Diceros bicornis minor: one gene and its partners. The protein of the gene in region 3 purifies or fractionates together with the protein of the main gene of each other region. This does not show direct contact. Links are inferred from orthologs where the notes say so. Each region holds a gene or a part of one and is shown on either strand. Other genes may lie near its edges.

Evidence for each region.
Region 1: the proteins of PPP6C (region 3) and PPP6R1 purify together in Homo sapiens (affinity purification with mass spectrometry; 11 studies listed by BioGRID and IntAct, with this or other methods). This does not show direct contact. The link is inferred for Diceros bicornis minor from reciprocal best matches to the Homo sapiens genes PPP6C and PPP6R1.
Region 2: the proteins of PPP6C (region 3) and PPP6R2 purify together in Homo sapiens (affinity purification with mass spectrometry; 9 studies listed by BioGRID and IntAct, counting the BioPlex papers as one, with this or other methods). This does not show direct contact. The link is inferred for Diceros bicornis minor from reciprocal best matches to the Homo sapiens genes PPP6C and PPP6R2.
Region 4: the proteins of PPP6C (region 3) and ARHGEF2 purify together in Homo sapiens (affinity purification with mass spectrometry; 4 studies listed by BioGRID and IntAct, with this or other methods). This does not show direct contact. The link is inferred for Diceros bicornis minor from reciprocal best matches to the Homo sapiens genes PPP6C and ARHGEF2.

The regions. Positions count from the first base shown.
Region 1 is NC_080773.1:33,275,785-33,282,730, reverse strand, and holds the start of PPP6R1 (serine/threonine-protein phosphatase 6 regulatory subunit 1), read left to right. Parts: upstream 1-3,937; 5' UTR 3,938-5,029; coding exon 5,030-5,053; intron 5,054-5,628; exon of another isoform or gene 5,629-6,413; intron 6,414-6,946. UniProt on the Homo sapiens protein: Regulatory subunit of protein phosphatase 6 (PP6). May function as a scaffolding PP6 subunit. Involved in the PP6-mediated dephosphorylation of NFKBIE opposing its degradation in response to TNF-alpha.
Region 2 is NC_080764.1:452,131-459,329, forward strand, and holds the start of PPP6R2 (serine/threonine-protein phosphatase 6 regulatory subunit 2), read right to left. Parts: upstream 3,007-7,199; 5' UTR 2,872-3,006; intron 1-2,871. UniProt on the Homo sapiens protein: Regulatory subunit of protein phosphatase 6 (PP6). May function as a scaffolding PP6 subunit. Involved in the PP6-mediated dephosphorylation of NFKBIE opposing its degradation in response to TNF-alpha.
Region 3 is NC_080767.1:33,595,937-33,603,376, forward strand, and holds the start of PPP6C (serine/threonine-protein phosphatase 6 catalytic subunit), read right to left. Parts: upstream 3,015-7,440; 5' UTR 2,897-3,014; coding exon 2,822-2,896; intron 1-2,821.
Region 4 is NC_080743.1:59,647,511-59,654,653, forward strand, and holds the start of ARHGEF2 (rho guanine nucleotide exchange factor 2), read right to left. Parts: upstream 3,006-7,143; 5' UTR 2,882-3,005; intron 1-2,881. UniProt on the Homo sapiens protein: Activates Rho-GTPases by promoting the exchange of GDP for GTP.

The DNA of each region.
Region 1 (6,946 bases), on a different chromosome or scaffold from region 3:
GTGTGGAATTTACTTGTACTCTTCGGATTTTGGAGGGACAAATTATTTTCACCCCTCTTCCCAAATTCAGAATAAATCGAAAGGTAGCTACAGGATCCGAGAATTGGAGATCAAATATTACCTTTATTACTATTAGAGCCAATCACAGAAAGTGGCTTTAGTCTTGCTGCTACTTCACCCTGGCGTTAGACGTGCTTGCTCGCCTGGTGGCAGGCAGCAGTGGGCAAGCAAAGGTGTCCCCTTGGGTGCAGGGAGCAGGCCAGACACTGGGCAGGCTGGCTCCAAGAGGAGGGAGAGCTGGAAGGCTGAGCCATGATGCCCATCCAATCCGGTGAATCATTCCTCTGCCCCTGGAAGGGTTGGAGAGGCCAGGAGAGAGACAGTACGCAATAGATATTCCTCCATATGGAAATGTGAACAGTGGGGGAATGAGCGTTCCCACTATACACTTGAAGAGGCCCCTTCAATTCTAAGACAAACAACAGCATTGTCTACCTGTGAGTTCTGACAGGCTGGAGACCCAGCCTTCAGCCCTTAAAACCCCTGCCGCTTCCCAGGTTCTTGCAGACTGACTTCATCAGCTACTCAGGTTCCATTTGGTGGTTGAATATGGCCACACACACAGCCCCTGCCCCCCGCCCCCCAGTTCCTGAGGATACGTGTTAAAACAGTGTGGCAACAATCAGACTGGAAAAACAGCAAGCCAAATGCTGGGTAAAAGACAAAAGATGTAGGAGAAAAGATGACTCAAGGAACAGAAGGAAATGCCTCACAATTGCTTCAAGCTGTACAACAACAGGAACCGAGGTCCATTTTAAAACAAGACCTCAAAGAGGAAAAGGTAAGATTGGCAAATCTAAGGAAACAAATTGAGGACTGTGCCAAATTAGATGGTTCAGCAAATATTCATTCTCTTCCATTCCAGCTTCATGAGAAAAGTACACTTTCCCACCCCATGGCGGGTGGAGTGCAGGTGCCTGCCCCATGACTTGGGGCTTGACCATGTGACTTGCTTCTACCAATGATGGTGGCAGATGAGAGGTGACCTGTGACTTGAAATGTGCTAACAGTTGGGCTTGATCTCTTGTGCTTCTGCCTTCCCTTATGAGATGGTGCCCTCGGGAGCCCACTGGTTCCAGATTATGAGAGACGTGAGGAGTGGGAACAGCCTTGCTGACCTTCACACCTGCAATTCCAAACCATGAACATGATACATGCCACCGAGGCTGTGGTTGTTTGTCACAAAGCAGTAGCTAACGGACACAAGGACCAAAAACCATCATATGTAACAAATACACTGGAAATAGCAAGGACCAGGAGAGACACGGCTGAAAAATGAAATTATTGACGTGGTAACCAGTGAATGCAGGTGGAAATGACAAAGATGAGAGCAATTAGAAGCTAACAGATGTGAAGGACAAATGCATAATTGGCTTCCTTGAAACAGAGGACAACCAACCAGAACCTGAAAATGTACTCAAACACATGATTCAATAAAATGTCCCTGAAATGAAAAAGGTAAATCTGCAGGTTAAAAAAAAAGTAAAAGTTGAGTCCTTACACACATTTACTCAACTTATCCTTACAGTGGGCCTGTAACCTGGTGCAAGTTGGGGAAAGTGAGGCTCAGAAAAAGATGAGACCTTAATGCATAGTGATACAAGGTCTAGGAGGATCCTTCCAGTCGATGTTGTTAGAGGATGCTTTGTTAGAGGACACTGGCAACAGTAAAGACACGGCCTGGGCAACCTAGAGGTGGGACTGAAGTCCCCTTGAAGCACAGAGAAGGCGTCGAGAGAAAACCGGGCGAGACAGAAGCGCTTAGCCTTGGCTGGAGAGAAAACCCGGGATGGATTCCCCAGGAGCTCGACCCTGGAGCCACAGCAGGAATATGATTGGAGGAGACAGAAGAGCGCATGGATTTCTAAAAGGAGCGAGTGGGAAGAGAAATCCTGGAGCAGGATTTTCTCTGGACTTTGGAACGGAGTCGCAAGAGAAATGCCACCGGGTGTGCAGCAGCGCCTGCGCATTGAGCTGTCTGGGTTTATTCGGGGAGAAATGGTTGGAGCAAACTGGCGCAAGCGCATCTGCAACGGAGATGTTCTGGCTGGGCGGCGTCTAGAGCGGCTGTGCCCAGCGCGCACGCGCACTGCAGGATCCGGGCGCGCGGCCTCCGGGCGCTTGCACACCGAGACGGCGGCGAGAGGGCGGGGCCTCCTGCGTGCCCCTGCGCTAGGGGGATTGTGGGATAGTGGCGGACGGAGACGGGCGTCGGAGGCCCTGAAGAGGACTGGAAAGCCCGGAGACCTCGCCGGTTTGGGGAAGGGGAGGTGGAGGAAGTGCGCCTCGACTTCCGTCGGCCGCTGCTCAGCATTGCGGCCTGTTCGGACTGCGGAGGACGACGTCTTCCCCGACCGGCGTTTGCTTTCCTGCGGGCGCTGGGCCGGGCCGGGAAAACCGCGGCGACTTCCCCGCTGAGGGCCTGCGCGGGCCTCGCGACCCTGCTAGCCTCCTCCGGCCCCCAGTCGCGGCTCGCGCCCACCTCGCCGGCGGCCCCGGACCCACCCCCGTCCCAGCCGGCGCCGACCCCCGACACCTGGAACTCGGCTTGCGAGGGCCCCCCTAGCCCCGAGGGCGCGTGCGCGAGCCCCGGCCCGGCCGCCTGCGCGAGTCTCCGCCGCGGCCCCCCGCCCCCACATACCGGGCCTCGGAGCAGGGGCCGGAGCCGCCGGCGGCGGGGCGGGGGGGGCGCCCCGATGAGCCCCGAGTGCGAGGAGCCGCCGCCCCCCCGCGCAGGTGAGCCGGCCGCCCGGGACCCTCCGCCCGTCCAGGCATCCTCAGTCCCCGCTCCGCCCGCCCTCCTGCGCCCCGCTTAGGTACCCCCGAATCTGCTCAGCCCTTTCTCCTTTGGGCCCTTCATTACTTCTTGGGCATTTCCCTCCTCCAGTCTCTTCCTCCTCCGCCCCTAAGTCTTCTAGTCTCTCCCCTCAGCCCCCCAAGTCTCTCAGTCTCTGCCCCTCGGCCCCCCAGGTCTCTTAGTCTCTGCCCCTCGGCCCCCCAAGTCTTCTAGTCTCTGCCCTTCGGCCCGTCACGTTTCTTAGTTTCTGCTCCTCGAGCCCCCAGGTCTCTTAGTCTCTGCCCCTCGGCCCCCCAGGTCTCTTAGTCTCTGCTCCTCGGCCCCCCAAATCTCCTAGCCTCTGCCCCTAGGCCTCCACCCACCCAGCCAACGTTCCCCAGTCTTCTCCCTTTGACCCCCGCACCTCCATTTTCCCCACCTTGGGACTCAACCCCACTCTTTTCTCCCCTGGCCACTCCCTCTCAGACAGCCTCCTCTTTTTCTCCTCAGCCCCTTCCCCTTGGACACCCCCTTGCCCCTCTTTCTCTGTCGCCGGCTGTCTAGACCCCAGCTTCTTGGGGACTCGCACTCTTGGTCAGGACGACTGGATAGTGGGCCTTCCCCTTCCCTTGACCGTGGCTCCCCCACCCTGTGTTTCTGGCCTCTTGTGAGGGGGACCTTGAGAGCCAGCCCTCTGGAACAGCCGCCATTCGATCCCACTTCTGTGAGATGAGCCTGCTGAGGGCAGGGCAGGGAGCCTGCTGCTGGGTGTGAGGGAGGGGGACCTGCCTCTGCCGTGTCCTGGGGAGACAGAGGCAGAGGGACAGTCACAATTACTGGTGTTGTGATAGAGGTAACTCAGGGCGCCACAGGAGGCCACAGCCGAGGGACTGGTGAGACTGGCTCAGCGGGTGGCTTTTTCTGTCTAGGAAGGATGAGTAGGAGTTGACAGATGGAGAGTGGGAAGAAGGGCCTTCCGGGTGGAAGGAACAGCACGTGCAAATACGTGAAGGTCTGTGCGCTGGGGTGCAGATGTGTCGCGAGGGAGTGGGGCATGACACCTGCCGGGGCTGCCTGTCCGGGCCCTTGAATGTGACCTTCTGGTGAGGGTCTTCCTTGCTTGCTCTTTTGCACACCTGTACGTCTGTGCTGAGGATGCAGATGTTACCGTTAACCAGAAAGGCAGGATGTTTCTGGAAAGGAAGATGTGTTGTCAGGTGTGGTACGGGGTTCAGAGTTGTCAGGAAACTTCAGTGGGGTGTAAAGTGGCACCGACATCGCTGCTCTCTGCACAGGGTGGCTCTGGGGACCCATGCGCTGTTGGCAGAAGTCTGTAGCAGAATGCAAGGCACAGGACGTGCTCCAGGATCAGTAGCTTCTAGGATTGTTATTTGGTTTGGGGTGGTCTCTTGCAGTGCGTTTTCAGCTGGGGGTGCATGTGTCCCCCAGGGTTCCTTTGGCAATGGCGGGAGACAGTTTCAGTTGTCACAGCTGGGAGGTGCTACTGGCATCTGGTGGGTGGAGGCCAGGGATGCTGCTCCACATCCTGCAGTGCACAGGACGGCCCCTACCGCAGAGGGTGACCCGGCCCCAAATGTCACTAGTGCCGCCTGGAGAAGCCTTGCTCTCTCGCTTGGGTATTATCTGTACTTTTGGATTATCTGCTCTGTTGTCATCCGTGGGGAGCTGTGTATTCTGAGTTGTGTGTTTTGATTTACTCTTGTGTTTTTGTTGGGTCATCTTGTGTGTTTCTGTTAGAGGAGAACCTGCTCATCCCCCCAAAAAACTTTTTTTCACGATCTCTGGCCAAGTGACCTTAGCAGGTCACCTTCTCTCTCTGGACTTCAGTTTTCATTAATTCAACAAGTACCTCTAGCTGTGGGCCTGGCCTGGTGCTGAGTCCTGGGAAATTGGCATCTTCTGGGGGAGACAGGTGATTGAACAGGCAGAGCCTGTCACACAGCCGTCAGGTGCTGTCGTAGGGTGACCACGGAAGCCAGGGAAGCGTGGAGCAGGCCCTGAACACAGTCAGGGGAGGCTTCCTGGAGGAAGTGGTGTCTGCGCTGAAGCCTGAAGGACCCACGAGGAGCTAGTGAGGCTCAGAGAGCTGGAGGGAAGGCAGAGGGAGCAGCTGAGCCAGGGCAGAGGCGAGGGCGCGTCCAGCAGTCAGGTGTGGCGGGAGTGTTGGGCGCCATGCGGGTTGCAGCAGGAGAAGAGGTGAGAGGCCGGGGAGCCTTGGAGAGAATGAGAAGCCTTCCTGTTGCACCCGGCTCTCAGGCAGGCTCGGCCCTGGGGGTGGGGACGTGCCCTCCTTTCCGGGCCAAGCATGGTTTTCCCTTTGAACCCCGGTTTACAGTAGCTGTGAGGTGTCTCAGGTGAGGAGACTGAGGCTGTGTGGGTTAGGTCCCTGCTCGAAGGCCACGGAGATTGACGTTTGGAGAGACGAGGTTGGCCCCCAGCCTTTCTGACTCTGGATCACTCTGTAACACTTGCTCTGCTCCTCTCTGTTTTCCAAGGGCTGTTTCAAAATCTATGCCTTGTTCTTTTCCTTTTTTTCCTTTGAACCAGTGACCGATCCAGAAGAGGGTCCTGATGTGAGCTCTCGGCCCCTCCTCAGTCCTTGGCCAGCTGTCCCCAGTCTCTCCTATTTCCTAATTACTCCATCCCCTGGGGTTGGACCAGACTGCCACCTCCCCTGGGAGGTGTGCTCTGGGGTCAGAGGGGGTGGCGCCTAGGGTATCCCCTCACTGGGGACCCCCTCAGGCTTTCCCGAGCCATGGGAAAGTCCCAGCTCATGGTCCTGTGTGGCCTTGGCTGGGTCTCTCTCCCTCTTTGGCCTCAGTGGCCCCTTCTCCCAAGTGAGCGTCCCGCTGCCTCCCTTGCTGGGTTCCGCATCTGGCACATACACCAGGTCCTGCTCGGAGGTTATGGGGTCGCCATTACCGTCATCCCATTCTTGGAATCGGGAGTCCCCCACCCCCTTTCCAGATTTGGCCGAGAACTGACAGTGGATTGGGGGAAGTTAGAGGAGGGTGGTCTCGCTGTCCTCTGACCCACCCTGCCCTGCAAGGGCCTGAGGGCTGGCCTGCGGGTAGTGGGTTCCCTCCCCTCCTAGGGCTCGCCTAGTCCATGTCTCATTAGAGCTGTTGTGGGCCAGTGATGGCTGAGGGTGGCAGCAGTCAGCAGGCCTGAGATGGCCTCTCCCAATGCTGGCGCGTCTACCGAGCCTCAGGGCAGCTCAGGTGGCCGCCTCGGAGGCCCTCCCAGAGGCCTCTGCGCCCTTGACCTTCACTTCCGGGTGCTTTAGGGACAGGGCAGGCTAGGAAGGGGTGGCAGATAAAGGATCAGCCCACAGGCCCCCTGGCAGGCGGAGCTGTGTTTGGACAGATGGTGGCAGCAGCAGTAGCAGCAGTGACAGTGGTGGTGGCCTGCGGGAGCCTCAGTCGGACCCTGTCTGAGCCCAGGCAGGGGCAGGGGCTGGCAGGATCCTGAGAGGGGCAGCTGGTATCGGAGGCCTGAGCACAACACAGCAAAGCAAGAAACCCGAGGCGATGGTGCAGAGCTGGCGCAGGGAGAGGTAGTTTTCTTTTTAATGGCTTCCTTTCTCATTTACAGTTTCCCCTTCTTCCGTTTGCAGCCGGAGTCATGGTTTTCAAACGGTCGCTAAAAACCAGTGGTAGTCACTTCCGTTTTCTTGAAGTTTGCTAAAAGTTGCAAAGGGTGGGGGCAGCGGGGTGCGTGGCGCCCGCCAGAGTATTTGAATGACCTGACTCACTCCGGCAAATGGGGAGTCTTCTGTTTTCAGTGCCGTCACCCCTGGGGTAGAGGCTGTTTCCGTCCCTCCTGCTGCAAGTGTCCAGGCTTCTGCGTGGCCGCGGGGACAGACAGGAAGGGGCCAGCACTTGCCAAGCCCCTGATGTGTCAGGACCGCCTGCCTCAACCCGGCTTCTTCTCACAGCACGGCCTTGCCCGGTGGGCTGTGCCCCCGTTTCACAGATGAGGACACGAGGCTCCCGGATGCCAAGTGCCAGACCCAGGTTATGCTGTTAGAGAGTGAAAACGAAAGCCGCCTCTCCTGTCCAGTCCCAGGGCTTCCAGCAAGTTCCGTTA
Region 2 (7,199 bases), on a different chromosome or scaffold from region 3:
CGTGCTGTCCCCTCAGCCTGGAAGGCTCTGACCCCTCATTCTTCTCATAGCTAGCTGCTTCTTGCCCTCCAGAGCTCAGCTAACATGAGAGTTAGAAGAACCAAAAGGGAAGAGAAATCAGAAAGGAAGGGACATGGAGAAGAGGTGAAAGGCTGAGAGTGTCAGTGATGGTCCAGGCACTAAAAGGCCAAGGGCGTGGCAGGGAGAAGCCATGGGGGAAGTGACTGGCAAGGTGAGAGTAACAGGCTAGAGAAGGCCACAAGGACAAGGCAGGTGGGTACAGTGACAAAATGGGGGAGGGGGGGCGGTGAGAGGCAGGAACTAAGCGCAAGTGACAGACTGGGTGAGCTGGTGGTGAGAGGACAGGGGATCTGTGGCAAATGGTAGTGGTCAGTAACAAGTGGGTGGACAAGGCAGGTAGGCTGCAAGGACACAAAGGTGGCAGGTGGGGGTGTGCGGAAGACGTCACAGCGACAGGTGGGGGGCATTCAAAGGGGCCAAGAAGGTGCACGGGGGAAGGTGACAGAATGGGGATAGGAACAGCAGTCAGTGAGTGGACAAGGGAGTGATGGCAGGAGGCCCTGCGGAGGGAGTGTCCTACACCCCACCGGCAGGAGCCGGCAGCACTGACGGGTGGGACAGAGCACTGACGGGTGGGTCAGAGCACTGACGGGTGGGTCAGAGCACTGACGGGCAGGGCCCCTAACAGACAGGGGTGAGGGAGGAGGCAGCGAGGAGGGGGATGGTGACACTGACAGGCTAGGGAGGACTGATGGGGGACCTCGACGGGCAAGGGGGGGGAACCGATGGGTGGACAGACAGGGTGGACAACGACATGGGGACCTGGCAGCACAGGGGGGAGGAGGGACATTAACAGGGAGGGCACTGAGAGTGAGGGTTACTGACAGAGAGGAGGGAGGACTGGACAGGGAGGAGGGGCACTGACACATGTGACACTGATAGGAAGGACGGCACTTAGGGGGTCACTAATGTGGGAAACACTTGACTGGGAGGAGGTGGGGGAGGGGGTGGACACTACCTTGGGGGACACGGGGGCAGCACTAACACGTGGGACACGGATGGGGTGGACATTGATGGGGCGGACACTGCCTTGGGGGGACAGGGGGGCAGCACTAACACGTGGGACACTGAGGAGGAGGGCACTGATGGGGCGGACGCTGATGGGGGGGCACTGAGGGGGCGGACACTAACGGGGAGGGTACTGAGGGGGTGGACACGGACAGGGGGCCACTGACGGGGCGGACACTGACGGAGGCACACTGACGGGGCGGACACTGACAGGGGGGCACTGACGGGGCAGACACTGACAAGGGGGCACTGAGGGGGTGGACACGGACGAGGGGGCACTGACGGGGCGGACAATGACGGGGGGACACAGACGGGGCGGACACTGACGGGGAGGGTACTGAGGGGGTGGACACGGACGAGAGGGCACTGACGAGGTGGACACTGATGGGGGGACAATGACGGGGCGGAGACTGACGGGGGGGCACTGACGGGGCAGACACTGACAAGGGGGCACTGAGGGGGTGGACACGGACGAGGGGGCACTGACGGGGCGGACAATGACGGGGGGACACAGATGGGGCGGACACAGACGGGGCGGACACTGACGGGGAGGGTACTGAGGGGGTGGACACGGACGAGAGGGCACTGACAGGGTGGACACTGATGGGGGGACAATGACGGGGCGGACACTGACGGGGGGGCACTGACGGGGCAGACACTGACGGGGGGCACTGATGGGGCGGACACTGACAGGGGGCACTGACGGGGTGGACACAGACGGGTGGGCGCTGAGGGGGTGGACAGGGATGGGGGGGCGCTGACGGCATGGACACTAACGGGGGGCGCTGACGGGGCAGAGCGCTGATGGGGTGGACACGGACGGGGGGGCGCTGACAAGGCGGAGCGGTGACGGGGTGGACACTGACGGGGGGGCGCTGATGGCATGGACACTGACAGGGGATGGACACTGAGGGGAAGGGGGCACTGACAGGGTGGGCACTGATGGGGTGGACACTGGTGGGGGGTGGACACAGAGGGGGTGTGGACACTGGTGAGGGGTGGACACAGAGTGGGGGTGGACACTGGTGAGGGGTGGACATTGGTGGGGGTGGACACTGAGTGGGGTGGACACTGGTGGGGGGTGGACACAGAGGGAGATGGGCACTGGTGGGGGTGGATGCTGGTGGGGGGGGTGGGCACTGAGGGAGTGGGCACTGAAGGGGTGGGCACTGAGGGGGGTGGACACTGAGGAAGGGTGGACACTGAGGGGGCGGGCACTGACGGGTGGGGGCACTGACAGAGGGCAGACACTGAGCAGGGGTGGACACTGGTGGCTGGTGGACACTGAGGGTGCTGGGCACTGGTGGGGGCAGACACCGGTGGGGGTGGACACTGGTGGGGGTGGACACTGATAAGGGGCGGACACTCGTGGGTGGTGGGCACTGACGGGGGAGTGGACACTGGTGGGGGTGGACACTCGTGGGGGTTGGACACTGAGGGGCAGTGGGCACGGGGAGTGGACGCTGGGGGGGGCAGACACTCGTGGGGGTGGACACTGATGGGGAAGTGGACACTGGTGGGGGGTGGACACTCGTGGGGGTTGGACACTGAGGGGGAGTGGGCACTGGGGAGGTGGACACTGAGGGGGAGTGGGCACTGCGGGGGGTGGACACTGGTGGGGGGCGGATACTGAGTTGGGGCGGACTCTGGTGGGGGGCGGACACTAAGGGGGTGGGCACTGAGGGGGGCACTGACGGAGGGGTGGGCTCTGGGGTGCACACTCCGGGGGCACCGACAGGCGCGGGCACGGTTTGAGGAGCCGCGGCGGGCGGCCTCACTCACCTGCCCCGCGGGCCCGGCGACGCGGCGGCTCCTCGGAGGCCCCGGTGGGGGCCAGGGCGCTGGCGGAGGCGAAGCCCGGGCGGCCTGGGGCGCCCCGCACGCACATGGGCCCGGCCGGGCGCGGCGCCCACGGACACGGCGCGGGCCGGCCGGCAGCTCGAGATCAGCTAGGGCCGCGGGCGGCGCTCGGGTCTCTCCAAAATGGCGGCGGCGGCCGGGCGCACGCGCGTGGGGGGCGGGGCATCGCGGGGGCGCGCTCGTTCGCGGGGGGCGCGGGGGCGCGCGCTCACGTGGACGCGCCCGGCGGCGGGAGCGCGAGGGCGTGGGCCGCCGGAGGGCGGAGTGGGGCGCGGTGTGGTTTTGTCCCTCTCCTTTTCCGTCTGAGGTGTTGCTGAGTTTCTACACAAGCGTAATTAACTTTCTGTAGGATGATGCGTTTGCAGTAGTAAAGTTTCCAATGCTACGTCAGTCACAGAACGGCCCCTCCAGAGACCCGAAAGGATTTGAGGATGCCACACCGGGGCAGGGGTCTCCCGGTTCTCTGGGGCCTTCCTCTCCGCCTGAAGACCCTCCCCCTGGCGCAGCTGGGTGTCTCCGAAGCTACTTGGGCTCGCGGCGTGGACACGGTGGGCAAGAGTGAACAGTGGTCAGCCCCCGTGTGCCAAGCGGAGGTCCCCCTCCACTCCTGCTTCCTAACTGGCCTGGGGGCGCCTGAGCAGCAGCCCCCAGACTTGTGTTTTCCAGGTGCCCCGCAGGTTCTTGCAGTGTTTTGCACATTAAAATATGTGCCCATTTAACATTTGTTGGAATTGTTTAATTCAATCAAACTAATCTCTAAAATGAGAATTATTTCAGGTGTCAGCGTGAACCGTGGGAAAATGTTGGAAAGAGAAGTCGAGCACTTAAGAAATACCTAATACTTGTGCTAGGTAGCAACTTGTTGCCTCTCAGCTGCCGGTGCACCGCGGCGCTCTGCGAAAACGGGTCTGGGCTCGCCTGTGCTCAACTGTGTCGGTAGGGGGCGCAGGAGAGGCGTCGCGGGAGGAAGGGTGTGTTCCGGGCCTCGCTCTGCAGTTTGCCCGTCTTCCTTCCCTGCATCCAGCTCCTGCAGCTTCCCCAGCTCTCCCTTGGGCAGCTTTATAGCAGAATGTCTCTGGTGAGGCATCTCTCCCTAAACACCTTTCCCTGGTATGCTGCAAGGCAGATTTCTGGCAAGTTCTATAGTGTGAACTTCCAGGAAGTGGTGGTAAAAAAGCATCAGCCTTAAACCGAGAAGAGGAATGTCCTGCAAGCCCTGCAATCGAAGGCCCCTCCCCACAGAAGCTGGGGGTGCCGTGGTTGAGCTGCAGAATGGGGGCTCAGGGCCAGGGGTCCTGTGCGGGAGATGTTCCCACTGGTTGTGCCGCTGTGTGAGCGCCTGCAACCCTCTGCCTGATCTTGATGCTCTTCCTGTGCTCCGGCCAGAGTGCCTGGGGTCAGCTGGGGCCCCACTCCTCCTCTCATCCCCCACACTGGATTCATCAGCAAGTCCCTCCACTTCTAAATATAGCCAGCTCTCCACCACCGCGCCCTGATCCAAGACCAGTTTCTCTCACCTGACACAACAGCAGCCTCCCAACGGGGCTCCCTGCTTCTACCCTGGCTACTTGCTGTAGGCCAGCTTGCTGTAACCAGCATAGCACCCAGAGGGATCCAGTGGAAAAAAGTTGGATCACATCCCTCCCCCAGGGCTCCCGTCTCACACAGCGCAAAGCCAAAGTCCTTGCTACTACTTACAAGGTCCCATGTGATCTGATCTCATTTCCCCTCCTCTGTCCCTTGTTTGTTGGCTCCAGTCATGATAACCTTGTCACAAGCCACTTGCCCATGCTGTCCCTGCGTCTGTCATGCTCTTCCTCTAGTTATGGCCGCACTTACTGACCTGCCTCCTGAATCTTACTCCACTGCCCCCTTCTCAGTGAGAGCTTCCTGGCCTCCCTATTTCAAATCTGAAGCCTACATTCATGCATGCACACACACACGTGTGCATGCACATGTGCAAACATGCATGCACACATGCAAACTTCATAGTCCCCTTCCCTGCTTGGTTTTTCCTTGTTGTATCAATAATCATGGTCCAATAAGGGGATAGAAACCACACAATGTCTTCAACAGAGGAATTTTCATATAGAAATTATTGAGAACAAGGGATTAATTGTAAAGGAGTAAAGAGAACTCTAGATTCAAGAAAGGACAAAAGTTGGAAGGTGGTCCCCTCCCCAAGGTGGGAGTTCATTCTGTGTTGGAGAGTTGTGTGGCTGCAGCCCAGCGGTCGACATAGACATTCTCTGGGGTGTCCCAGGACACAGCTGATCCATAGTCCCTGAGCAGAGACTAATGGGCAGGAATACACCCCTCCAAGGTGCATGCTGGCTAAGCCTGGAAAACTTCCTGCTGAAGTGTCTGCAAGACTCACTGGGAATCCACCCATGGGGGTGCTGCTGAAACTCAGTGAGAAACCATCCAGAGAGGTGGCACCGCTGCATGTCTTCCACATGTGACTCTGACAGCTGTGCAGTAGGAACAAGAAGAGAAAGGATGCACATCGAAACCAGAAGTCCCTTCTTCCAGCAGTGACCCTCCGGCACTCTGTACTGGCAAAGCTTAACATTGTGCCAACTGCAAAAGAGAAATGCTTACAGGATCCAGCTCCATTATCACAGTGCAGGTAAAGAGAAGTGGATTTGGATCTGAGGCAATCAGTGGAAAACAGGCAGAGTTTGACTCTCTGGGTAGTCAGCTTCTGTACGCATCCTTTCAAACATATTTGAACTTCCATACTATAAGAAAACAATGCTATATTTTCACCTAACACGATACATCCATCCTTATTGCAAGTGAAGAAATTCTCACTCTTTCCCCAAAGGCAGCATATTCACAGTCCCATCAGTCATTGAATCTATCATTGGCTACATTAATTACCCCTCAAATTCTGTCACTGTTCCACTGAATATTCTCTTATGCTCTTATGTTAAAACTAAATAGGAAAGTTAACCTCTGACAACTTGTATATTTAAAAAAAATGGAAAGCAGAGAGAAGAAAATGGTGCATATATACAAATAAACACACACTATAACATGCAAAGAGAAAATGCGCAAAACTGCTACAACCTATGTTTCTGTAATTGGTCACAAGATGTAGTTGATACATGTGGCTTTTTAACAGATTTCTCTTCTAAACTCTCTTCTAGTGTACACAGAACAGTTAGAACAAGCTGAATTCAGTATTTCTGACACAGAAGGACTAAGTAAAATAAATTCTATCACTAAGAACCCCAAATGCAAAATTATTGACCAATAAATTGGAAAAAGTGAAACTGTGATGTAAAATGAGTGCTGCCTCTGGAGTGCCGTCAGAGCAGGAGGAACTGTGGCTCTGTCCTGGTCTTCTCAAGAACCCCACAGTGCAGCAAGACACAGGACAGGGCATCCAAAGACCACCACTCTGTGAACCCAAGTAGGACAAACACAGAGAAATCCACACCCATAGACACCATAACCACAGCGCAGCGTGTCAGAGACAGAAAGAAAACCACAAAAGTAGCAGGAGAAAAATGACCCATCACATAAAGGGGACAATGGTACAATTAATAGCTGACGTCTCATCAAGACAATGGAGTCCATAAGGCAGTAAAATGGCTGAAGGAAAAATAAAACCTGTCAATGAAAACTTCTACACCCAGCAATACTATCCTTCAAAAATGAAGGTGAGATAAAAATATTCCCAGATAAACAAAACAGAAGATTCATTGCCAGCAGATCTGCCTTGCCACAAATACTAAAGAGATTTCTTCAAGCTGAAATGAAATCACATCAGATGTTCACTCAAATCAACAGGAATGAATGAAGAACCATATTCAGCAACATGTAAAAAGGATCATCTATTGAGACCAATGGGGTTTATCCCAGGAATGCAAAGTTTTTTTAGCATCCAAAACAGAATTAATGTAATACACTATATTAATAGAGTAGAGGATAAAAACCACTGGATTTGTCTGATAGTTGCAGAAAAGGCATGTGGCTAAATTTAATACCTATTTATGATAAGTACTCTCAATAAAGTAGGAAAAGATGGGAAATTCCTCAATTTCATAAAAGATATCTAGGAAAAATCTATACTAACATTGAACTTAATGGTGAAAGATTTAATGCTTTTCCACAAAGATGTGAACGAGGCAAGGATGTCTGCTTTCACCATTTCAATTCTACATTGTAGAATTCCACATGTAAGGAGCTTGGGCATCACCACTCCATCCTAAGAACTAAAATGCTGAACAGATTGAAAAATC
Region 3 (7,440 bases):
GGTATAACTTTGCAGAGCAGGTAGCCTTATATGAAAAACTCAGAGGTGGCTCAGACTAAACATAAAAGTGAGTTCCAAAAAGACGACATTAACTATTAATCCATAAGTGGTTACTATGGAATTACATAATTCCTTGTGTTGCATCTCTGAGACAGACACTAGTATTCTCCCAACCCATACCACAACTGTCTTCAGTTCTTCAGTAAAAAAACTGAACACCAACTCAGTGCGCAACTTTACTTACATTCAACCTTTAAGAACTGCCCAAGAGATCAGACAATCGCCAAATTACAGAAGCCCTCTCCTGCCAACATACTGAAGTTTAAGTATTCTGTAAACCTGTTTTCTATCATTCATTCTTCCACTTGGCCAGATATGGAATCTGTATCTTCCATGATCTGCTCTGAAATCTTTATTGTGGATGAGAATCACATGAGCTCTTTTTTAAGAAAAGAAGGTTACGCTTTGGTCTACTCTCACAAATTTCACCCTTATTCCTTCCAGTTATGTAGATTCGATCCAGTACTAGTGATCTGACCAATTCCAACTTAAATATAGAGAAATCCTGATTAGACCTAGAACATCCTACACATTTATTATTTTATTTAGTACTCGCAACTTCTTCTAGTCAATTTAAAACACAGGTGAATTTCTTTCTTCTACCAGAACAAATCTTTTCCATAATGACCATTAAGTAGCCCCAATGACTTCTTTTCCTCCTCTGATAGAATCTTTTATTTTGGCTTTAAAACCTCCAGAAAGGTGCTCCTGGAATACTTTCTTGGTCTGCCTAAATTTAGTCTGTACTTTATGCCAAGAAGTAGCAACAAAATTAAATTTCTTTAAATATACCAGAAATGAGCAGTGCAAGCAAATTAATCTGATAAAAACATTTCCAAGACAAAGAAGAAAAGCCTCTACTTATAGAGAAAAAGTCAGAATTCTTTTTTTTCCCATTTGTCCAGAAAATTAACAAAAAAAAATTTATTAAGAAACAGATACATGCTGGGCCGGCCCCGTGGCTTAGTGGTTAGGTGCGCGCGCTCCGCTGCCGGTGGTCCGGGTTCGGATCCCGGGTGCGCACCAACGCACCGCTCCTCCGGCCATGCTGAGGCCGTGTCCCACATACAGCAACTAGAAGGATGTGCAACTATGACATACAACTATCTACTGGGGCTTTGGGGGAAAAATAAATAAATAAAATCTTTAAAAAAAAAAAAGAAACAGATACATGCTAAGTACAGTCCAACTGTGTTGCAAAGGGAAATGAAATGGTTTAATAACTATATTTCCTTAAGGTGGGAAGGAAATCTAATGTTTATCAAACTAAGAAGCCTAAAGCAATAAGCAACATTTTACTCATTATAAACACAAAGCTTAAACAGCTTTACATACATGAAAGAACAGAAAATTCAACATCAATTCACTGACATGCAAAAACCAACTTCACCTACGCGATTAACAGTGCTACCAAAAAATGTCTGGTTAGTTTTCCATGAACTGGGTGCCAATGGTGGTGGTACCCTCATTTCCTAAAAAAACGTATAGCAGAAAGAAGCCACAAAACTAACGTTTGAAGGATTCAGATGAGCACGAAAGCTACATTTCTACTAATATTGGCTCTGTCTTCATTTTAACTAAATTATCCTACCAAAAAGGGGAAAATGCACAAGAATGACTCCCCTATCATACAGCACGTATAATTAACAAGTGAGTACAAGTAAGTTACATTCACAACAGCTCCTGTGGCCTTAAACATTTTGCATACTTGTTGACTGATGTTAAATATCAACTTCCTGTACCAAAAAAGACAGCAAAAAAAAAAAAAAAAAAACAGTAACATCTTCGTTAAGAGGAAGAATTCACAAAGACAAATTACTTTAAACCCACAGCCTAAACAATAAAAAGAACGCAAAACTATCAACAGTTTAGCCACTCACCACACAGCAAATCAAAGTTAACTGAACGAATAAAACAGACACTAGCACTTGGCTCAACACTGCTCGACACCTAAGCACTGGTTTTAACAAACGCAGAAAAACACTTGTCAAAAGAGCAGTAAACCAAAGACTGACATTCCTTTACTAAATTACACTCAGAAATTTACGGGGGAACAGAAAAGTATTTGTATTTATTGAGGGCCTACTACTTTATCCACTTAAGTTAGCTCAACAAGGGACTCCAAAACGGGATTCCCATCTGCATTAGCAGACGCAAACCAACACTCCTAAAGAGCAACTGGGAGAAGACGGACGGAAAGAGGAACGACTGGACGTTCTCACATCTCTACCCAACAGCTCTGGCCCACCCTCGTCCCACTCCCCAAAAACCTACACACACGGGGGCCGCGTTCCGGGAGCCGGCGGCATCTCCTGTCAGACGCCGGCCACCCGGGCTCCTGTCACCACCTCTGGGGGATGACCCCATCCCGAAGGCATTGCCCGCTGGGGCTCGGCTCAGACTCCCGGAGCCCGGGTAAGGGGTTAGGGGAGAGGAGCCTTCTAAGCAAAGCTGTTAGGGCTCGGAGCCCAGGGGCTGCCCGGAGACCAAGAGGGGCAAGGCTGGGGCACAGACCGCTGCATCCCGCGGGATCCCCGCTGAGGGAACGGGGACAGCACTCGGGGGACTCGGGCTCCCCCGCTCTCCGCGCGACGCCGAGTCGCACCGGGCGGCCTCGCCCCGCGACAGGCCCTCCACCGGGACCGGACGGGACGGGATGCCGGCGGGGGTCCCGCGGAGGGAGGAAGGGCGGGCCGGCGGGTGCCCCGCTGCCGGAAGGGGCGAGCACCGCAAGCAGCGCTCCTGCCCCGGCCAGGCTCACCTTCAGGTCGTTCTCCGGCAGGTACTTGCACAGCCGCGCGATCTCCACATACTTGTCCAAGTCTAGGGGCGCCATTTTAGAAATAACAAGCCCCGACGGAAGCAGCGTCGGCTGCTGTAGTAGCGGCGGCAGCGGCGGAGGCCGAAGCCGGAACTCTCCCTACGTCACGTCCGGCCCGTGAGAGGCGTCTGCGCAACGGCGTAAAGCTTGACCGGATTCTCCCCGCTGCCTCGGTCCGCCCCACACCTTCTCCCGCTGAACCCAGGCTGCACGCCCCTAGAGGCCGCCTCGTTCCAGACAGTGAAACCTGCTGGGACCCGTAGTTGTCTGCCGTGGGGAGTGCTGGGATTTGTAGTTTTCAGTAGTGGCCAGCTACTCCTCTTTTCCTCCCCTTTCTTTCTTGCAGACTTTCACCTCTGGGCACCCAGCGAGGCTTTTCCAACGCAAAACGGCGAAGTAGGTGACCCTAGCCATTCCCTGGTTTCTCACTCTGACCCTATTAAGCATTCTCTCACCAGAACATCTTCAGTTAAAAGTTGTGTAAGCCTGGCCATTATAACCTGTTTGCACCTTTTCAAGGTTTTGTGAAAACCTTGCATAAACCTGTGGCAGAGATGTCAGGCTACCAGTCTTCCAGCCTGGAAGGAAGGGAAACAAATATTAAAGCATTTCTTATGCTAAATGCTATACAAATGCTGGCTTTCCGTTTAATCCTCATAACGATTGATAGGAAAGCAAGGCTCAGAGAGGTTAAGTAACATTCCCTAAATCTCACAGGGAACAGGCAGGGAGCCGAGATTGGAACATAGGTCTGTCTGGTTTAAATATACTTCAGTGTGAGTCCCAGGAGGACGAGGAGATTTTGTTGTACCTCTAGCGCTTAGAACAGGACCTGGCACTTAGTATACCTTTACGTTCATTCATTCAACAGCTGTTTATTGAACACCGACTATGTGCCAAGTACAGTTGTAGGCGCTTGGGATATTCAGTAAACAAAACAGACAAAGATCCCTATCCTCAACTCGTAGCTACATTTTAGTAGAGGAGACAGAACATAAACAATAAATATAATAAATAACTGTATAGCATATTAGTGATAAGTGCAAGGGAAAAAAAAACCATCAGGGTAGGGGAGATGGGGTGATGCATTTTTAGGAACCAACAAAGAGGTGGGGGAGTTAGCCATGCAGATACTTCAGGGAAATTATAGTGAAGAGCTGATGCAGAGGCCCTAAGATAGAAGCATGTCTAGAATCTTCGGGAAATGGCAAGAAGATTAGTGTAGTTGAGCAAGGTGAGAGGAATAGGAGAGATGAAAAAAACGTTGATTTTTACTTTTAATGCAATGGGGAGTTATTGCAGGGGTTTGAGCTGAGGAGTAACATGATCTAACTCATTTTAAAAGGATCATTGTGGCTGCTGTATGAGACTGTAGGAAGCAATGGTTGCATCTGAAAGACCAGTTAGGAGACTGTTATATAATCCAATAGGAGCAGGAGGTCAATAAATATTTTTTGTGCAAGTGACCCTGGACTGGATCCTCTTGCTCTGAAGTGTATTTTGGGGACATTTGGCTAAACTTTAATGAGGTCTCTGGGTGAAGTTCTTTGTATTATTCTTGCAACTGTCTTGTAAGTATGAAATTGTTTCAAAGTAAAATTAATTTTTCAAAGTTTGTTGCAGAATGAATGATGCCCACAAGCATACATTTCTTTATTTAGTCAACAAATAGTTATATCGTACCTATGACGTGAATGAGACAGATATGATCCCTGCCTTCATGGGGCTTACAGTCTAATAGAGGAGACAAACAATAAACATATAAATGAGCAAATCATTAATTTCAAAGTGTGGTTAGTGCTAAAAAGGGAAAGAAGGGGTAGTGCAAGAAAAATGGAGTAGAAGAGGCCTACTTTAGGTTGGCAATATAGTGGAGGAAAAGTGTGCAGACTCGAGCACCAGATGGCCAGAGTTCAAGTCCAGGCTCTGTTACTCACTGTGTGACTTTGGCAGTTATTTATCCTCTCTGTGCTCCAGTTTCTCAGCTCCAATATGGAGATAATAATAGTGCCTACCTCATATGGAGATAATAATATTTACCTTATAGGCTTGTACTGAGATCTAATGGAGTTAATATTTGGAAAGGGCTTAAAACAATATCACGTAAGAGTGCGTGCAATGTGTTTGCTCTGAGTATTGGGTGGGCAGGAAAGGCCTTCCTGAAGAGGTAACATTTCAGACATTAGAGAAAAAAAAAGTCAAGGGATAATATGCTCAGAGTTTCTTGGAGAAAAATATCCAAATGAGGAAAAGATGCTATTGTTGTTTGACTTTTTTTTAATAGTCCTCTTTGGAAAGTTGGCAATTCACTTTTCATCTCTGAACCTCAGTAACTGGAAATGAATCCTACTCAAGATGCCTTCTCAGAATTGGGAGGGGGGCTGGCCAGTGGCGCAAGCAGTTAAGTGCATACGCTCCGCTGCGGCTGCCCGGGGTTCACCAGTTTGGATCCTGGGTGCGCACTGACGCACTGCTTGATAAGCCATGCTGTGGCGGCATCCCATATAAAGTGGAGGAAGATGGGCACGGATGTTAGCCCAGGGCCCTTCCTCAGCAAAAAAAAAAGAGGAGGATTGGCAGATGTTAGCACAGGGCTGATCTTCCTCACAAAAAAAAAAAAAAGAAAAAGAACTGGGAGGAAAGACAAATAGGAAGATGGATATGAATATTCTTTATAAACTGTAAAGTGCTTAAAAGGAAGGTGTCACCAGCATCGTTGCTTATTTATTTATTTATTATTTTTGTGTGTGTGTGAGGAAGATCAGCCCTGAGCTAACATCCGTGCTAATCCTCCTCTTTTTGCTGAGGAAGACCAGCTCTGAGCTAACATCTATTGCCAATCTTCCTCCTTTTTTTTTTCCCCCAAAGCCCCAGTAGATAGTTGTATGTCATAGTTGCACATGCTTCTAGTTGCTGTATGTGGGATGCGGCCTCAGCATGGCCAGAGAAGTGGTGCGTCAGTGCGCACCCGGGATCCGAACCCCGGCCACCAGTAGCAGAGCGCGCGCACTTAACTGCTAAGCCACAGGGCCGGCCCAGTATCATTGCTTCCCTTGCTGATAAGTCAGGTAGGCAATGAAAGCAGGTGGTGTCCCCTTCCAGTGAAAGGTGGCAGTCCTCACATTACCAAACTGTATGGCAGTAAGAAGCTCCCTCCTGCAGACTCACCTCATTCAGTATACCTGACTCTTGACATCCACAGCAGAGAGAAAGGAGGGACGCGTCCCTCAGAGTGCTGGGTGAGTTCTTGGGAGAGGTGATAGACACACTGGGTAGTTTGGCAAGGAGACGAGAGAGTGTACAGAGCTTGCTGACTGGAACATGTTCTAAGTCTTCCTTGCACAAAGCAGGAGATCTGGGCTCCTGGTTCTGCCATTATGTGGGTTAGTCACTTTAACTTCCCTGAGCCTCCATTTCCATTTTAAAAATAGATCTCAAAATTTCCTTCCAGCACTTTCTGAAATACGATTTGTAGTCCAAAAGCATAGGTCCCACGATGAAAACTGGTTGCCATTTTGCCCACAAACCTCTTCCAATGTTTCTTGTTTCTGTGCAACTCCAGCATGGCACTGTGAAATGGATGGAGCCGAGAGACACGGGGGCTGTCAGAGCATTCTGCAGCTCTGGGTAGAAATCTCCATCTAGATGCACATGGATGTATGGCAGAGCCCACCTGGCCTTGGTGTTCTTTCCTGAAGGAGAGCAGAATGACTGAATATTCCCTAAACTCCCCTTTGGCAGTCAATGGGGATTTTTTTCCATTAATATGGGAACTCGCAAAGACTTGAGGTGTTTGAAATAGGATATTTGAGCAGTGAGAAGAGCTGCAGACCTCGAATTCCATTATGTCAATAAATTTTTGCTATAGTTTCAGAAAGTAGCTAAAAGATTTCACCAAATTGGCCTTTCACTTGTACTATCAGATCCTCTCTACGGCTCCCTGAGGTGGGTATTACTATTCCCATTCTAGAGATGAGGAAACTAGGGCTCAGAGAGGGTAATGAACTTGCCAAATGTCAGGGTTAGTGCTGGAGCCTGGGTTTGAACAGGAGTGTGTCTGACTGCTTCCCACTCTGCTACCACAGCTCTGGACTCCAGGAGCTCCTGCGGTTTCCTTCCTTAGCGATTTCTTCTGTTTCCTAGGACACGACTGTCCCAGTCCTCCTAAGTGATCACCAGGGTCTCTGAAACATAGACATAGGTGAGCCACCTCTCCATTTTCAGGAAGCCACAGGGCCATGGTTATGATGGAGACCAGAGATAATGCATATGAACACGTCTAACTCAGGGCTGGTGTCTAGAGTTCATTTATAGCTAGGAATAGCACCACACTTTACAGAGGACCAGCTCTGCGCTGCGCACCGAACACCTTATATACATGAATTAGCTCATGTATTCCTCATCACCTTGTGACAACAATCTTATTAGCTCCATTTTACAGACAGACGCCCAGAGAAAAGTAACTTCCTCAAGAGTAGATACTCATGGATGAACTTTTTATTCCTTGCACTTTTTACAAATGTATCTGGTTATTGCTTTTTCTGTTTAATCTCTCTCTC
Region 4 (7,143 bases), on a different chromosome or scaffold from region 3:
ATGGATAGGAATAAGCAATATGATAAAGATGTCAACTTTCTCTAAACTAATCTTTAGATTCAATGCGACTCCAATAAAAATCTCAAAGTTTTTTTTTTTTTTTTTTTGTGAGCAGATCAGCTCTATGCTAACATCTGCCAGTCCTCCTTTTTTTTTTGCTCAGGAAGACTGGCCCTGGGCTAACATCCGTGTCCATCTTCCTCCACTTTATATGGGACGCCGCCACAGCATGGCTTCCTGAGCGATGCATCGGTGCGCGCCTGGGATCCGAACTGCCTAACCCGGGGCCACTGCAGCGGAGCACGCGCACTTAACGGCTTGTGCCACCGGGCTGGCCCCTCAAAGTTTTTTAATGCATGTTTTATATGTATGTTATACTCCAATAAATATGTTAATTTTTAAAAAATTAAAAAATTCTCTTTATTTAAAGACACTATGGGAGAGGGAAAAGACAAACCATATTTCTCCATCTTTGAGAAAAGATCACTTCAACACGTATAACAACAAATAATTAGTATTCAGAACATATAAAGAACACATTCAAAACAATAAAGAAAAAACCCTCAAAGAACCCAATACAAAAATGGGCAAAAGACATGAAGAGGAATTTCACAGAAGAGGAAACACAAATGAACAAAATACATATGAAAAGATGCTCAACCACATTTGTAATAGGATAATTCAAATTAAGACCATAATGAGATTTATAACTACTGGACCAGCAAAATTAAGGAATCTGATGACTCCAAATGTTGAAAAGGATATGGATCAATGGGAACTCTCATGTACTGCTGATGGGAGTGGAAACAATTTGCCATTATATTGTAAAAATGAACATCTGTGCACTCTACGACCGAACAATTCCACTCCAAGGTATACACCCTGGAGAAATTCTTGCAAATGTGCACCAGAAGGTGGATAAAAAGGATGTTCATATCGACAATTCTTCATAATAGCAAAGAATGGAAATTGCTCAAATGTCCATGAACAGAAGAATGGAATGAAAATGAATGAACTATAATTATTTGCAACACGTGGATAAAAATTAGAAACAGAATGTTGAATGACAATGTAAGTTATAGAAAATTTTGTACAATATAACATCATTGTTTTTAAACTCAGAAACAAAAAAAAAGAAATGATATATTATTAGGTAATGCATATATCTGTGTTAAAACTATAAAAAATGTAAATGAGTGGTAAAAGAAAGTTCAAGATAGTGATTATCTCTGGTGGGGAAGCAAGAGAATAAGAGAAGAGAGGAAGACGTAAACAAAGATAAATGTATTGGTGATGTTCTAGTTCTTGAGATGGGTGGTCAATTTACCAGACATTCATTTTTAAATATTATATTTAAAAGACAAAGGGAAAAAATACAACAGAGGGTATTAGCAACTCTGGCAAACTGGAGCGCACAGGCCTCCTTTAAGGACATCTGAATTTTAGAAAGTGTAAGCACCATGCTGGCCAAACAAAATAAATTTTGGAGCTAGACTTGGCTCATAGACCGTCAGTCTGCAAGCCCCAGTCGAGTTTAATGAGTCTCAGACTTTTGCTCCGTGGACTGTGGTAGAGTACTGATACGCACATATTACTGCAGGAAGAAACAAAAAACCTCCAACATATAGACAAGGAGAAATGTAAGGGGAGTGCTTAAAGATTAGGTGGAGAGAGGGGAGGAATCAGAGCAGGAAGGCATAAAAAGAGAAAAAAACACTAGGGAAAGGGGGGAAAGAAGAGAACATATAATACCAAGAAGGGGAAAGTGGAAAGTGGGGAGAAGAGACAGGTGGAAGAGAGGGAAAGGAGTATGAAGGAACAGAGGGGAAAAGAGGAAAAAGAAACTTATTTCTCGCACTCATCCTGTGTGCCAGCCTCTGTACTGGGCACTTGAACACCTATTTTCACTGAATAATCACAACTTTAAAAGACAGTTGTTATTATCCTGGCTTTCAGAGAGACGACATGAATTGTTCAGCTGGTAAATGAAGGATCTCAGAGTCAGTTTGACTCCCAAATCCTGTTCTTTCTATGATACCATATTGACATGGGGGTGAGGGAAGACATGCAGAGATGCTGATGGAGAAAAGTGAGTGAGGGGATCAGATGGGTCTTCCCCTGACAGGCTGTAACAGCCTCTTGCGCTCAGCCTGTCTCCCAAACCACAGGCACTGGAACAATGAGGCTGGGGTGGGTAACCCTGGCCAGCTAGAGGATGAGCAGGAAGGGAGGCAACATTTAGTCACCAGGCTTGAGACATTTCTGTGTACTCAGGAAGTCTTAGCTAGTAGACCCAGTGGTGTCTCGCAAAGCCCTCATATCCTCAGGTCCTTAGGTCCTGGTTTGAGAGCTCCCCCCAGTTATGTTCCCTAAGCCAGAAGGCTGGGCAATCTCTCTATCCTGTCTCATTTGATAATCTCATGATTATCTTGTTAGAGAACTATTGTCTTTCAAGGTACCAGATGCCTAGTTTCATCCCACAAATAATAAGTTCAGCTCCAAATCTGAGAAATGTGGGGGTCTACAGAAAGAAGTGGTTTTAACAACTAGGGGAATAGGGGCCTTTTAACGAAAGAGGAACAGAGATACCCACATCAACACAGAGACACAGACACAGAAAGGAAGGAACAGAGAGTCTTAGCGAAAGAGACAGAGGCAAGATACCAAGAGTGGGGAACAGAGCAGACAGACCCAGGGAAGCAGACAGAGGAGTACAGACAACAGATTCAGATTCAGTCGGATAGAGTCAGAGTGATGCCTGGGCACAGAGAAATCCAGCAGCTGGCAGAACAGAAGAGGCACAGAGTGGTGGCTGGACAGGCAAGGAGGCAGGAGAGGGGGAGGAAGGCAGTGGCCTCCATAGGGATTAGTCTGTCCATACCACGCGGGAGGACTGGCCACCTCGGTGCTGCAGTTCCAGAAAGGTGTCCAGTTCCTCTTGGCTCTGCAGTAAGGGGGCCTCCCGGGGGCCCGCGCATCCCGATGCCTGCAGTTTGCTCCTGAAACACACATTGCCACCACCGCCCTCGGTATCCAGTGGCCACTGACGGGCACCAGGGAGGAACACCGCCTCAGCCGAGCCCTGTTGCTTGCCCCCAGCCCAGCCCTTCCTGTTGGCATAGGCTCAGTTCAGACCCAAACTAGCCTCTCTTTGGGGCTGTGCTCTAGCAGAGGTGCAGAGCTAGCTACAGGCAAGAGTGACCCCTGCTGGTCAACAGGCAGTACTGCCCTCCAGAAGAAAGCCAGTGCTCCGGGAGAGGCAAATGAAGGGCAAGCTGGATTCTCACTCCTTGCCTGGTTTCTGATGACAGCCTTTGCCCCGACTCAGCTGAATAGCGTGCCCAGGGCTCCTTTCCCTCTCTACCCAAAGGGCAAGAATTGATGCCTGATAGTGAAAGATGGCACCTGCAAGACTCTGAGATACAGTTGGCATCACATAAGGGGTACCCAGGGCATCTCTGCCTTGGACCAGCTGCTCTTAGGAAGGTGCCATGAGCCCTGCAGGCAAGGTTCTCTCCTGAGTTCCCACCCAAGCCAGTTCAGGGACAAGGTGCAGGGTCCTCTCCCCTAACCCGGCCCAGCCAGCCCTGCCCAGGAGCTAGAGAAAGTTGGTCTACTCACCAGAGCTAAGGGAACTCGTCCAAGGGGACCATTGCCAAAGCAGAGAGACAGTGCCCTTCCATGGCTAGCAGGCCCTCACATGACCACTCACACTGAACTCTTCACGCTCACCCCAGGCCTTCTATTTCTGACTTCCTCTGTCTTTGGGGAAGTGGTCAGGGATTTTCCAGGAGAAGCAGAAGAGATGGGTCCCTCTTTTCCGGTCTGCCAAGCATATGCAGACCTCTGAGCAAGAGTAGCTATTCTCCCATTGCAGGGCTGTACTATGATGACCAAAACATTTTGGGTCTGCCTCAGCCTGGACCCAGCAGGTAGGCAGCAATTTGGGAAAGGGGCAGATTCAATGCTCCAAACCTGTGACCACTTCTCTCAAGAAAGAAACCTTCCAAAGTTCTCTGGGCCTCAGTTTCCTCATCTGTAAAATGAGATTGGGTCGTATGATCCCTGAATCCCTTCCAGCTCTGGCATCTCTGTATGCGTCTATGAAACCCAAGTGGAGATGGAGGCAATAAGACCAAATGTCCTGATATTCACCCCAACTCCACACCTTACCCCCTCCACTCTGACCCCCACCTGCCCTTGAGACCAGGTAGAAAGAAGGTGCTAGGACCACTAGGGAGAGCCACATTTTGAAAGGCAGGGTCCATCCTCCCCAAAGCCCTCCCATAGGCCCAGGTTCTGATTCCCTAGGGAAGAGACTAGGGACCCAAGTCTCTTCAATTCCTGTCATTCGTTTCTGACCACTTTCTCCTGAGTCTAGGACTTGAGGGAAGGAGGACAGAAAGTCCCCTGGGGATTTACCTGCTCATTGGATCCTGGAGCTCCCTGCCTGGCCCCCAACTATGTCTTTTGAAGGGGTCATAGTTGTGGCTCTGGGCACGGAAAGCCCCCGACCTTCGGAGGGGTACAGCATGGAAGCCATCTCCCTCCTTTTTTCCCTCTTCCTCCTCCTCTTCCTCCAGCTGCTCTCTGGACTCCACTGCAGACAGGCAGCGGCGAGTGTGGCCTTGGGGTACCAGGTCTCCACCTGGGACGTCTCTGTTCATGGGAGGCACACGCAGGCCAGTCTGAGTCAAGAAGACAGAGAAGGGTGAGCAGAGTTCTAGAACTCAGGAAACTTAGAACTAGAAAGATGTCACAGTCAGCAGGGCCTAGAGTATCTAGTCACCCCTCCCTTTCCTAAAGCACAGAACTGGAGAAGGCTGGCTCAGGATCACACCAAGAATTAACTGCAGAGCCAAGTCCAGAACTTGGGTTTTCTGACACCCAGTCTAGTGTTCTTTTTTGAGGCAGATTAGCCCTGAGCTAACATCTGTTGCCAATCCTCTTCTTTTTTGCTGAGGAAGATGGGCCCTGGGCTAACGTTCATGCCCATCCTCCTCTATTTTATATGGGACGCCACCGCAGCATGGCTTGATGAGCGGTGCATATGTCCGCGCCCAGGATCCGAACTTGTGTACCCCGGGCTGCTGAAGCGGAGCGGGTGAACCTAATCACTATGCCACTGGGACGGCCCCCCAGTCCAGTGTTCTTACCAGTACATAATGACATCCTCATTCACTCATTATTTTTCCATTTACTGAGCACCTAAATGGCAGAAAACCAAGCCAAGAAAAGAGAAATAGATATTGTTCCTGTCCTCAAGGAATTCACAGTCTAGTGAGTATGTGTGTGTGTGCACATGCACGTGTGTGCACATAGACAAAAGCACAAATCACAAATGACGGACTGGCCAGAGTATGCCAAATAACCAGCTGGACACTCAAAAAAGGGAGGCAGAAGGGAGTAGATAGGCTTTGAGATGGGCCTGGAGGGGTGGAGTGGTTAGGATTTGGCCAAGTTGGAGAGGGAGGAGGCTAGGCGGATAAAGCTGGAGGGAGGAAAGGTTCAGGAGTGAGAAAGTATTGTGAGTTCTTCCCTCTAAAATTCTGGTCATATGGGGAGTAAGAGAGCTATTACCACCTCTCCTCGTGCAGCACAGAGAAGGGCTCCAAATCCCAGCCACATCGCAGTTCCTTCTCTCTCTCCCAGGACTGCACTGTTGTCATTGCCCAACCCTCCCACATGCCATCAGGGCTTGCCTCAGTGTGTCTCAGAGTTAAGAACCCTCGGGTGCTCTTAAAGTTGAAATGATAAGCCCCATTCCAGAAAGAAGTACCAAATTCCAGAGGACCAAGACGGTGGAGGGGCAGGAAGGGAACTAACATTACTGCATACCTCTGTACAGCTCACTCATAGGCCCTGCCTCTCTGGACCTTCTGTTAGGATGAGTCTCCCAGGCTCCCCTTCTCCAGGGACCACTCCCAGCTACTGAGATGTTGGGAGTTCCCAGGAAGACCAGGAAGCTGTGAGCAAGAATCCTGCCTCCTCCCAGGCTTTCTGTGCTATTACCCTCCCCCCGCAGGAGCATTCACGTTGTTGGAAAGTTGCTCCTTCAATCAACTTTTCCCCTTTTCCCTCTCCCACTGCAATCTGTCCACTGCCCCTCCCCCCACTCAGGGTGGCTGAGAAGGTGCTTGAGCCTGTGTCGAGTGCATGCCTGTCCACCGCAGGGAAGGAGGGAGACAAGTGCTCAGGCCTCTGCAGACAGCATTCTGCTGCCCTGCCAGGTGGGTCTAAGGATAAAAAAGGAGAGGCCTAGGAAACCCGCCCAGGCCCTGTGCCTGTCCATGCTCATTACATCTGGAAGCAACGTAGAGGGGACCCCTCAGCCAGCCACGAGGAGAGATCTCTCTCCTGGTCTACAGACTTGGGCCTCATGCCATCTGATGTGCTGTCTGTAAATGCGATAGGCAGATCTGGAGGGAGCAGGACAGAGGCTGAGGGCCGGAGCAAGGTCCCTGCCAACCAGTGGTCTCCAAAGCTGAGATCTGGGGGGCAGGAGGGAAACAGACAAAAAAGTATTGTGAGAAGTGGCAGTGGAGGGAAGAGCATGAACTGGAGGTGCTGACTAAGAAAAGAGGAAGAGGGGCTGGGAACAGGACAGAAATTGAGGGGCACCGAAGCAGCGCTGCAAGGATCTTGGGTGCTTGGCATTCAGTGACCTCACAAAAGAGAAAAGACTGCTTGAGCTACACCCCCTGTAGCCAGCTTCTCTCTGCTATCCCTGCCCTACTTCTGCCTGCAGGGCTGATTTGGCAAGATGAATGAAATGCAGTGAATTGAAGCCCTTTCCTTTCCCTCCGTTCCTAGAGACGCCATCTGCTGGAGATGGTACCCTGCTACCCTGGCCCAGTGGATAGACCTTCTGATCCTGAGATCTTTATGTCCTGAGATCTCACCCTTCTTCCTCCAGCTCAGACCAACTGGAATCTGACCTCAAAGATCTACCCTTTTTCCAGCATCTCTGTCATTTCATTCACAGTCTCTGCCCTCTGTGAAAATGGAGTCCACTGGGCTCCTTCTCCCTCAGATCTTCATTCCATTTCTCAGAAAGTTTTTCCTGTTTTCTAAACTCCACCCCTCCATGCTATTATGTCAATTTTTATTCTATCCTTTAAAGAGATGAGGTTTAGTAAGGTT